2 linked regions of the Macaca fascicularis genome follow. The protein of the gene in region 1 purifies or fractionates together with the protein of each later gene. This does not show direct contact. Links are inferred from orthologs where the notes say so. Each region holds a gene or a part of one and is shown in the gene's direction. Other genes may lie near its edges.

Evidence for each region.
Region 2: the proteins of RAB10 (region 1) and GDI1 purify together in Homo sapiens (co-immunoprecipitation; 4 studies listed by BioGRID and IntAct, counting the BioPlex papers as one, with this or other methods). This does not show direct contact. The link is inferred for Macaca fascicularis from reciprocal best matches to the Homo sapiens genes RAB10 and GDI1.

What each region holds. Positions count from the first base shown.
Region 1 is NC_088387.1:96,200,929-96,205,246, reverse strand, and holds the start of RAB10 (ras-related protein Rab-10), read left to right. Parts: upstream 1-1,449; 5' UTR 1,450-1,973; coding exon 1,974-2,100; intron 2,101-4,318. UniProt on the Homo sapiens protein: The small GTPases Rab are key regulators of intracellular membrane trafficking, from the formation of transport vesicles to their fusion with membranes.
Region 2 is NC_088395.1:160,436,848-160,441,178, forward strand, and holds the start of GDI1 (rab GDP dissociation inhibitor alpha), read left to right. Parts: upstream 1-1,252; 5' UTR 1,253-1,347; coding exon 1,348-1,392; intron 1,393-2,659; coding exon 2,660-2,767; intron 2,768-2,899; coding exon 2,900-2,999; intron 3,000-3,140; coding exon 3,141-3,275; intron 3,276-4,081; coding exon 4,082-4,280; intron 4,281-4,331. Other genes in the region: ATP6AP1 (V-type proton ATPase subunit S1), read left to right, coding at 1-27. UniProt on the Homo sapiens protein: Regulates the GDP/GTP exchange reaction of most Rab proteins by inhibiting the dissociation of GDP from them, and the subsequent binding of GTP to them. Promotes the dissociation of GDP-bound Rab proteins from the membrane and inhibits their activation.

The sequences.
Region 1 (4,318 bases):
TGATTTCCACGTTTCAGCGTTTTCCACTTTATCAGGTTGAACCAGCTCACCAGGTTCAACTCCTGTGCCATCACACCTAGGTGTGCTTGAGGGATGGATGCCCCTGAGAATGGAAGGTCAGCAGCATGAATATTGCAACTACAGAAGGGTAGGAAAGAAAAAGGGCTGCGTAAATAGGACTGATGGGGAGGGAGAACCGAAGGTAAAGCAAATGCAAAGAAAATGCGAGGGGCCGGGCACGGTGGCTCACGCCTGTAATCCCAGCACTTTGGGAGACCGAGGCGGGCAAATCACCTGAGGTCAGGAGTTCGACACCAGCCTGACCAACAGGTGAAACCCCGTCTCTACTAAATAGAAAAAATTAGCCAGGCGTGGTAGCATACGCCTGTAATCCCAGCTATTTGGGAGGCTGAGGCAGGAGAATCACTTGAACCCAGGAGGTGGAGGGTGCAGTGAGCCGAGATTGTGCCATTGCACTCTACCCCGGGCAACAAGAGCGAAACTCCATCTCAAAAAAAAAAAAAAAAAGAAAGAAAATGCGAGGAAGCAGGCTGGGTCGGACTGGGGATAGGCTTGACCACCTTTCAATTTTCAACCCAGTGGTACGACTCTGGCGGCAGGCAGAGGCCCCACCTCCTCTGCAGAGAGCTCTCGGGTTCTCCCGGATTCCTAAAGGACGGCAAAGGCCTGAAGCAGGTTCTCTCAGCACCGCACAGACCCTTCTACTTCGCGGGGAGGTTCTTCCTGCGCCCAGGTGTTCCTCAGCCTTCCTCTCCTCGCCCAGGAAGAGGTTGTGAGGATTACATCATCCCAACCCGAGCAGCGTGGCCAGTTTTTCCATCTCAAACTCTTGCTCTTTAAGTCAACCGGGATGGAGCACTCATGTTTCCCCGTCAGGCCTGGCCCTGGAAAGGGGGCACGCCGGGAGGCGTCTCGTTCTAGCAAAGAGGCTATTAAATGACCCAGGGCGCAGTTTTTTCTCGCGTTTACGAGCTCCACCTACATGGGAACACATGGCCACCCAAGCCCGTCGCTGCGCCAAGACCTCCAACTCAATACACCCGACAAACGCTGGGCAGAGAAACCGCAGCGCAGTCCAGCGGGAGACCCCAGGACTGGAAGGAGGTGCAGGGTTCGGGAAGGGTGTCTCGGGGGGAAAGCGGGGGGGGGGGGGGCGCTGCGCCTGCGCAGTCGCTAAGCAGCGGCTCCCGCGGGGCGTGCTCGTAACGCCGCGCACCCTATCAGGCGGCTACAGGGAGCGCGCCCGCGGCCTCGCCCTCTATCGCCCCTCCCTTCTCCCCTCTGGGTCCAGCCTCAGACTGAGGCTTGGATACCCGAGCATTCCACTCCACTTCGGCGCGCCCCGTGCCCTCTTGTGCGCGTGCGCAGAGGCGAACCGCAGGGCTAGGGCGTGAGGGAAGGGCGGGCGTACGTCCTTGCGTGCGTCTCAGGCAGCGCGCACGGCGGCGTGAGAGGGCACGGGGAAAAGGTGGCTCTGGCCGGGGCGGCTCGGTTTCATGGGGCTATGTAACTGAGCTCGTCGACTTGGGGGTCTTTCTTCGCTGCCCTCGCCGCGTGCTAGCGCGGAGTTTCTGCTCGCGAGAGAGACTGTCCTCACGCCCGCCGCGCCTCGTCGACGGCAGAGCAGGCTTGCTCGCCCGTGGGAGCGTCCCGGCCGAGAAGCCCTGAGGGGGGAGGGGAGGCCATTTTGTCCCGACCGACTCCCCGGAACCGGGCGGAGCGGCTGGGAGAGGCTGCGGAGCTGTGGTCGCCGCCCTCGGAGGCACTGGACGCCGCCACTGTCGGGGCTTCCCCGAAGCTGTTCGTAGGTCGCCCGCGCCCTCTCGAGCCTTCCTTTTTCCCACGCTTCCCCGGTCCTCCGGCCTGAGAACGCCCGAGTGAGGAGTTGGCCCTAGTGAGAGGGACCGATCCCTTGGGGCCGCCGGCGGCGAGAGCCCGAGCCGCTCCTCCCAATGGCGAAGAAGACGTACGACCTGCTTTTCAAGCTGCTCCTGATCGGGGATTCGGGAGTGGGGAAGACCTGCGTCCTTTTTCGTTTTTCGGATGATGCCTTCAATACTACCTTTATTTCCACCATAGGTAAGACCTGTGGGAGGACGGTGTACAGTCTCGGTAGCTGCAAACCGTTTATTTTACTCCAGACATCTTGCTTCCCGTAATATACGCCTTTGTTTCAGTGATTCCGATTCCAAACGACAGATCCAAGTTACTGTTTGAATCGGCATCGAGCTTACTGGGGCGGGGTCTTCCCATGATTTCCATCCGGTCTTTTGCTTTCGAGTCTCCCACTATGCTCAGTGCCTTCTGTTACAAAATATGCACCATTTAACCGTGTTCCAGAACCTTATTTCTTCAGGCGACTGGACTGGCTTTTTCCACATTTGCATGGAATTACTAGATGTGTGATATTTTTAAAGTATTTATTTCAGTGGTTGCGATTGAAGCAGTACTAGCTATTTGGGAAAGGCCTGAATTTATACTTTGGGGCAAAGAGAAGATTCCATATGCTCATAACTTAGAGTAAACTTGAGGGTTTCTGAGAAGGATAATTAAGGTAAATTAGAAGGGAAAAGTGAGTTGCCCTCATTGACTAATCCATTGATGTGTCAAACAATCGGAGGCTCTTCGCGCTTGGGGCGGGACTCTGGCATATTTGCCTCAGCGCTTTTCGAGACATCAACAGAAGCAGTAATCTGAGGAAGATGATCAGTTTCTGTCCTCAAACCCAACAGAGTGAAGTCAAGTTCTCTCTTCTATTTTATTTGACTCTAGTATTTACAGGAAAGTATTTTGCCAGTCATAGCCCTATGGACTTACAATGCACTTTCACCGTGTTTCAGAATTACTTAGTGTGGCAGTAAGAGCTGAAGAGTGACCTTTTTAATCGAATTTCCCGTTTAGGAAAGGAAAAGGGAAAGCTCTAGGAAAGTCCCTTTTGAATCTGGGTAGAAAATTTAAGTGGCGCTGACGCTAATTGTGCTTTATTAATTGTGAAACCCATCCGCTCCCCAATACATTTCTTAAAAGACACATGGCTCTCAGCATTGTGGCCGTGCAGTTGAACCCATGTTTAAATGTAATTTTATATTGAGACGATTTTAAAAAGCAACTGCAGTCGTCTTTGAACTCTGGGAATTGTCAAAATTAAGCTGATTTGAAGCAATTTATATAGCGTTACTGAAATATTTGGTTTGGGTTTTCTTTTGTGACAAATATCAGCTGCTTCGTTCTCACAAAATACATTTTACAGAAATTAAATTGGACAAGTCATTTTTTAAATAGATTTTTATTTTGCTCACCTTTTTTGGGAGGCAAATTATCATAATCCTTATTTCCAGAGTATCATACTGTTTTCTTGGTTTGTCATAAATTTCATGAAACTTAGGGCTTGTTCTCTAACTTGTGGGTTAGAGAATACTAGCACTTAGCGCTAGCACTTCCCTAGCACTAAGTTTGCTTTTAACACTCCACTTTTAGCTGTAGCTGGCTGGGGTTAGGTGATCAGATGGGTCAGCAAATATTTATTGAGCATCTAATGCTGGGCACTGTTCTTAGACACTGAGAATAAATGAACACAACAGACCCCTTGAGGAGCATTCCAGTAAGATGCTACAGTAGTAAGCATAGGGAGGAAGAGTGCCTAGTCTAAATCGTGAGGAGTTTGAGTAGACTTACATAGAGATGATACCTAAAATGAAGTCTGGGCCGGCGCTGTGGCTCACACCTGTAATCCCAGCACTTTAGGAGGCCTTGGCGGGCGGATCATAAGGTCGGAAGTTCAACATCAGCTTGGCCAATATCGTGAAACCCCATTTTTACTAAAAATACAAAAATTAGCTGGGCGTAGTGGCAGGTGCCTGTAGTCCCAGCTACTCAGGAGGCTGAGGCAGGAGAATGGCTTGAACCTGGGAGGCGGAGGTTACAGTGAGCTGAGATTGTGCCCCTGCACTCCAGCCTGGGCAACAAAACGAGACTTAGTCTCAAAAAAATAATAATAAATGAAGTCTGGAGGACTAATAGGAATTGAGTCAGAGGGGTGGGATAGGGCCTTTCTGGAAAAGGGAGCATAGAACAAATGTATAGTAAGGTTGAGGATTTAATTCATGTGGTCAACTTTCTTTCTTTCTTTCTTTATTTTGAGACTGAACCTCACTCTGTCACCCAGGCTGGAGTGCAGTGGTGTGATCTCGGCTCATTGCAACCTCCGCCTCAGGGGTTCAAGCAGTTCTGCCTCAGCTGCCTGGGTAGCTCTGATACAGGTGCTTGCCACCATGCCTGGCTAATTTCTGTATTTTTA
Region 2 (4,331 bases), on another chromosome or scaffold:
ACCATTTCTTTGACCCAGATCGTCTGACCCTGTGCCAGTGGGGGATTGAGGGTGGGACAGTGTCCGTGTTGTTGCTTTCCCACCCTGCAGCACACTGGACTGGAGCTTCCCTCTTCCTACCGCAGCATGAACCCCAAGCTCCCCTCAGCCCATCTTGCTCCCTCTTCAGCCTGCTGAGGAGCTTTCCTGGGCTGCCCCCATCTCTCCCAACAAGGTGTACATATTCTGCGTAGATGCTAGACCAACCAGCTTTCCAGGCTTAGTCGCTGTGAGGCGTAAGGGACATGAATTCTAGGGTCCCCTTTCTCCTTATTTATTCTTGTGTCTACATCATCCCTGGCTGTGGATAGTGTTTTTGTGTAGCAAATGCTCCCTCCTTAAGGTTATAGGGCTCCCTGAGTTTGGGGTGTGGAAGTTCTACTTAACTGTCCTGCTTGGCTGTCGTTATCGTTTTCTGGTGATGTTGTGCTAACAATAAGCAGTACACTGGGGTTTATTTCTGTGGCCTGAGAAGGAAGGCACCTCCACAGGTGGGCTGGGTGCGATCGTCGGCTGTCTGGCATGTTCCCACCGGAAGTGCCTGGCAGGAGCAGGGGGTGCTCGGTTGTTTCCTTCCTAATAAAGTAAACGAGGATCGCCATGCGTTGGGCCTCTTGTCGCTCATTTCTGCGCTGAGCTTTTGGCGCGTGCTCGCCAGAGGTATGCGGGAGGATGGAGCCTGGAGAGGGGGAGGCTAGGAGGCATCCCCGGAGACCGGGAGGGGCTTTAGTAAGCTGGGCCCTAACCGCTTAGGTCAGGGAGGGGTGGTCGGGCCGAGTCCCGGTGCGCTTCGGCGTCTCAGGAGGCCGTAGTGACAATGGCAGCCTTCGCGTCGTGAGGGAGCCGCCCCCGGCTGCCGCAGCGGCGCGCGTCCGGTCGCGGGGCCGCGCCGAGACTCCCGGGGGGCGGGGCGGGCGCGCGCGGGGCGGGGCGGGGCGGGGCGCGCCCGGCTCCCGCGCATGGATCCTTCCCGGGCCGCAGCACCGGCCGCCGGCCCGCCCCGCCCGCCCCGCCCGCCCCGCCCCGAGCCTCTCTGGACTCTCGGCGAGCAACGTCGCCCGCGGAGCCGCGCTGGTGCTGTGGCCCGGGCCCTGGCAGCCCTCCCGGGAGGCGAGCCGGGAAGGCGGTGTCCCCTGCCGGGTGCGGCGGGGCGCGGGAAGAGGCGGGACTCTTTGACGCGGCGGAGGGGTCGGGCGGCGGCCGACGCTCCGCCATCTTTGGTCCAGTGCGGTGGCGGCGGCGGCGGTGGCTACTGCTGTGGTGAAGGAGGAGGAGGAGCCGAGCGGGCGCTGCCACTGAGGCCTGACCATGGACGAGGAATACGATGTAATCGTGCTGGGGACCGGCCTCACCGTAAGTGCGGCCCCGGGCGCCCTTGGCCCTGCGTCGTGCCCTCGCCATTCCCCGCGATGATGCGGCCGCCGGCCCATCCTCCGGTCACTGCCATCTTCTGCGCTCGGCTCCCCGAAAAGCCGGCGCCGTGCCCACCCCGCTGCTCCCCCCGCGATGTCGCCTCTGTTCGTTGCCATGACCCCATCTCCCCGAAGGGGCCCCCTTCCTGGCCGCCCCCTGGCCTACCCGGGTCCGACCCCCGGCGCTCTCCCATCTTCCCTACCCCTGCCCTCTGGACCGGAAAACGCACCCCCACTCGGCCCGTTGCCCCCGACCCCGCCCACCCATCGCCCCCACCCCGCCCACCCATCGCCCCCACCCCGCCCACCCATCGCCCCCACCCATCACGGCATCCACCCGTCGCCCGCACCCATCGCCCGCCTAGCGTTGCCTCCCAGCGTCCCTTCCCATCTTGCGCTAATCCCTGTGAGGATGAAGTACAAGGACCTGGGGTCAGGGGGCCTCGCCAGGGTGGGCTCTCAGCCCACCCCCTCGTCGTCTTCTGGGGCCAGGGGATCCAGGGAATGTTCCAGAAGGAGCAGCAGTGGGGGCAGTAAGCACATTCCCGCAACCCCACCTCGGTTGCCCATGGAGACCTCAGGCTGAGTAGCATCTGCAGCCTTTGTCCTTGGGCTAGTGACAGTGACTGGTGAGGGTGTTTATCTTCCCCCTTTCCCCGAAAATCCCGTTGGCCCACTCCCCTCAGAGACTCTTCTCCCTCGGTCCAGACCCAGATGCCCCTCCTCAGCGGCAGGGGCTCCTGCTCTTTGAAGAAAGAGCAGTCCAGGGTGGGGCCTACAATTTCAAGGACTGTGCTAAGCCTTTCTTTGCTTCCCTTTGGAGTGTCTTTCGCAGTCCAGCTGGGTCCCCTCTGTGCCACATTGTGTTTTATCCGCCTTTTTGTGCGGCTCTGCGTAGGTAGATGCCTCTCGGCGTGTTGGTACTGGAAGGCCATCCTGTGTCTGCTGGATGCCCTGCCTACCTCAAAGCCTCCGTTATTTCACTGTCTGCCTTGTGAGGGGGACGGTCTCCTTTACCCCGCAAGGTTGCAATGGAGAGTGTGGTCGGATGAAACCATCACCCCAATTTTAGGCGAGGCAACTAGCCGGTGGGGGTGGTGGATGGAAGGAGCTGTCCACTGAGGCAGGTTTGGGTGGGGAACAAATCAGGGCTGCTGGTAGGAGCAGAGGAAGGTGGGAGTGCAGCGGATTGTGTGGCCCTCCCCCAGGAATGCATCTTGTCGGGCATCATGTCTGTGAACGGGAAGAAGGTGCTGCACATGGACCGGAACCCCTACTACGGGGGCGAGAGCTCCTCCATCACACCCCTGGAGGAGGTGAGGCTGCCTGGGCCCAGGCCCATCCCTGTTAACCTCCCACACAGCGGCACAGGGTGGAAGTAGCTCTCCAGGTGCCTGGAGCAGGAGGAGGTGGTCCCTGAGGTGTCTCTCTCTCCCTTCTGCTTACAGCTGTATAAGCGTTTTCAGTTGCTGGAGGGGCCCCCTGAGTCCATGGGCCGAGGCCGAGACTGGAACGTTGACCTGATTCCCAAATTCCTCATGGCTAACGGTGAGGGACAGGAAGGAGGTATTGCAGGTCGGGGGTGATAGGGAAGACCTAAGGACAGTCAGGCTCCAAAGGAGGCACAGCCAGACCAGCTAGAACCTCTGGAGAGAGCCGTGCTGATGTTGCCCTTGTGCACCCCCACAGGGCAGCTGGTAAAGATGCTACTGTATACAGAAGTGACTCGCTACCTGGACTTCAAGGTGGTGGAGGGCAGCTTTGTCTACAAGGGGGGCAAGATCTACAAAGTGCCGTCCACTGAGACTGAGGCCTTGGCTTCCAGTGAGTGTGGGCCCCCTGAGCCAGAGAAATCATGGGGTGGCAGGGAAGCCAACTGTCTTTGGGATGGGTGGCTGTCCAGAGTAAGGCACCCCTTTGTCCAAAGTCACATTCCCCCATGAAGGACCAGAGGCCCTTCACTCTGTATTCCCTCTGCCCCATGTCATGCCGCATGGCTGGCTGCCAAGAGGGAGGTCCCCACGCAGCAGGGATGTGACGTGGAGGGGAACGGGACTCCTTTTGAAAGACTTGAGCGTGGCCAGGCACGGTGGCTCATGCCTGTAATCCCAGCACTTTGAGAGGCCTAGGCGGGTGGATCACGAGGTTAGGAGTTCAAGACCAGCCTGGCCAACATGGTGAAACCCCGTCTTGTCTCAAAATACAAAAAATTAGCTGAGTGTGGTGGCACACACCTGTAATCCCAGCTACTCGGGAGGCTGAGGCAAGAGAATGGTTTGAACCCGGGAGGTGGAGGTTGTGGTGAGCCGAGATCATACCACTGCACTCCAGCCTGGGCGATAGAGCAAGACTCCATCTCAAAAAACAACAACAACAAAGAAAACTTGAGCCTTTGGCAGGGGCTCCACTGGATCCTCAAGACATCCCCAAGTGTCCAAGCCAGGAAAGCCCTTAGAGTCCATCCAGGCCAATCCCCTCTTCATCCTGGTGGGGAAACTGAGGCTAAAAAGGGTGGAGAGGTTAACCTAAGGTCACAGGACAGCTGGGCTGGGAGTGGGGGTGCCTGCCCTGCTGAGATGGAGAGTTTTGTGCTGCGTTGGTGCAGAACCTCCTCCCGCCACCTTCCTTAGATCTGATGGGTATGTTTGAGAAACGGCGCTTCCGCAAGTTCCTGGTGTTTGTGGCAAACTTCGATGAGAATGACCCCAAGACCTTTGAGGGTGTTGACCCCCAGACTACCAGCATGCGTGATGTCTACCGGAAGTTTGATCTGGGCCAGGATGTCATCGATTTCACTGGCCACGCCCTGGCACTCTACCGCACTGATGAGTGAGGGGAAGCTGGTGTGGCGGCAGCCCCCTCGCCCGGCCCACCTCCTGC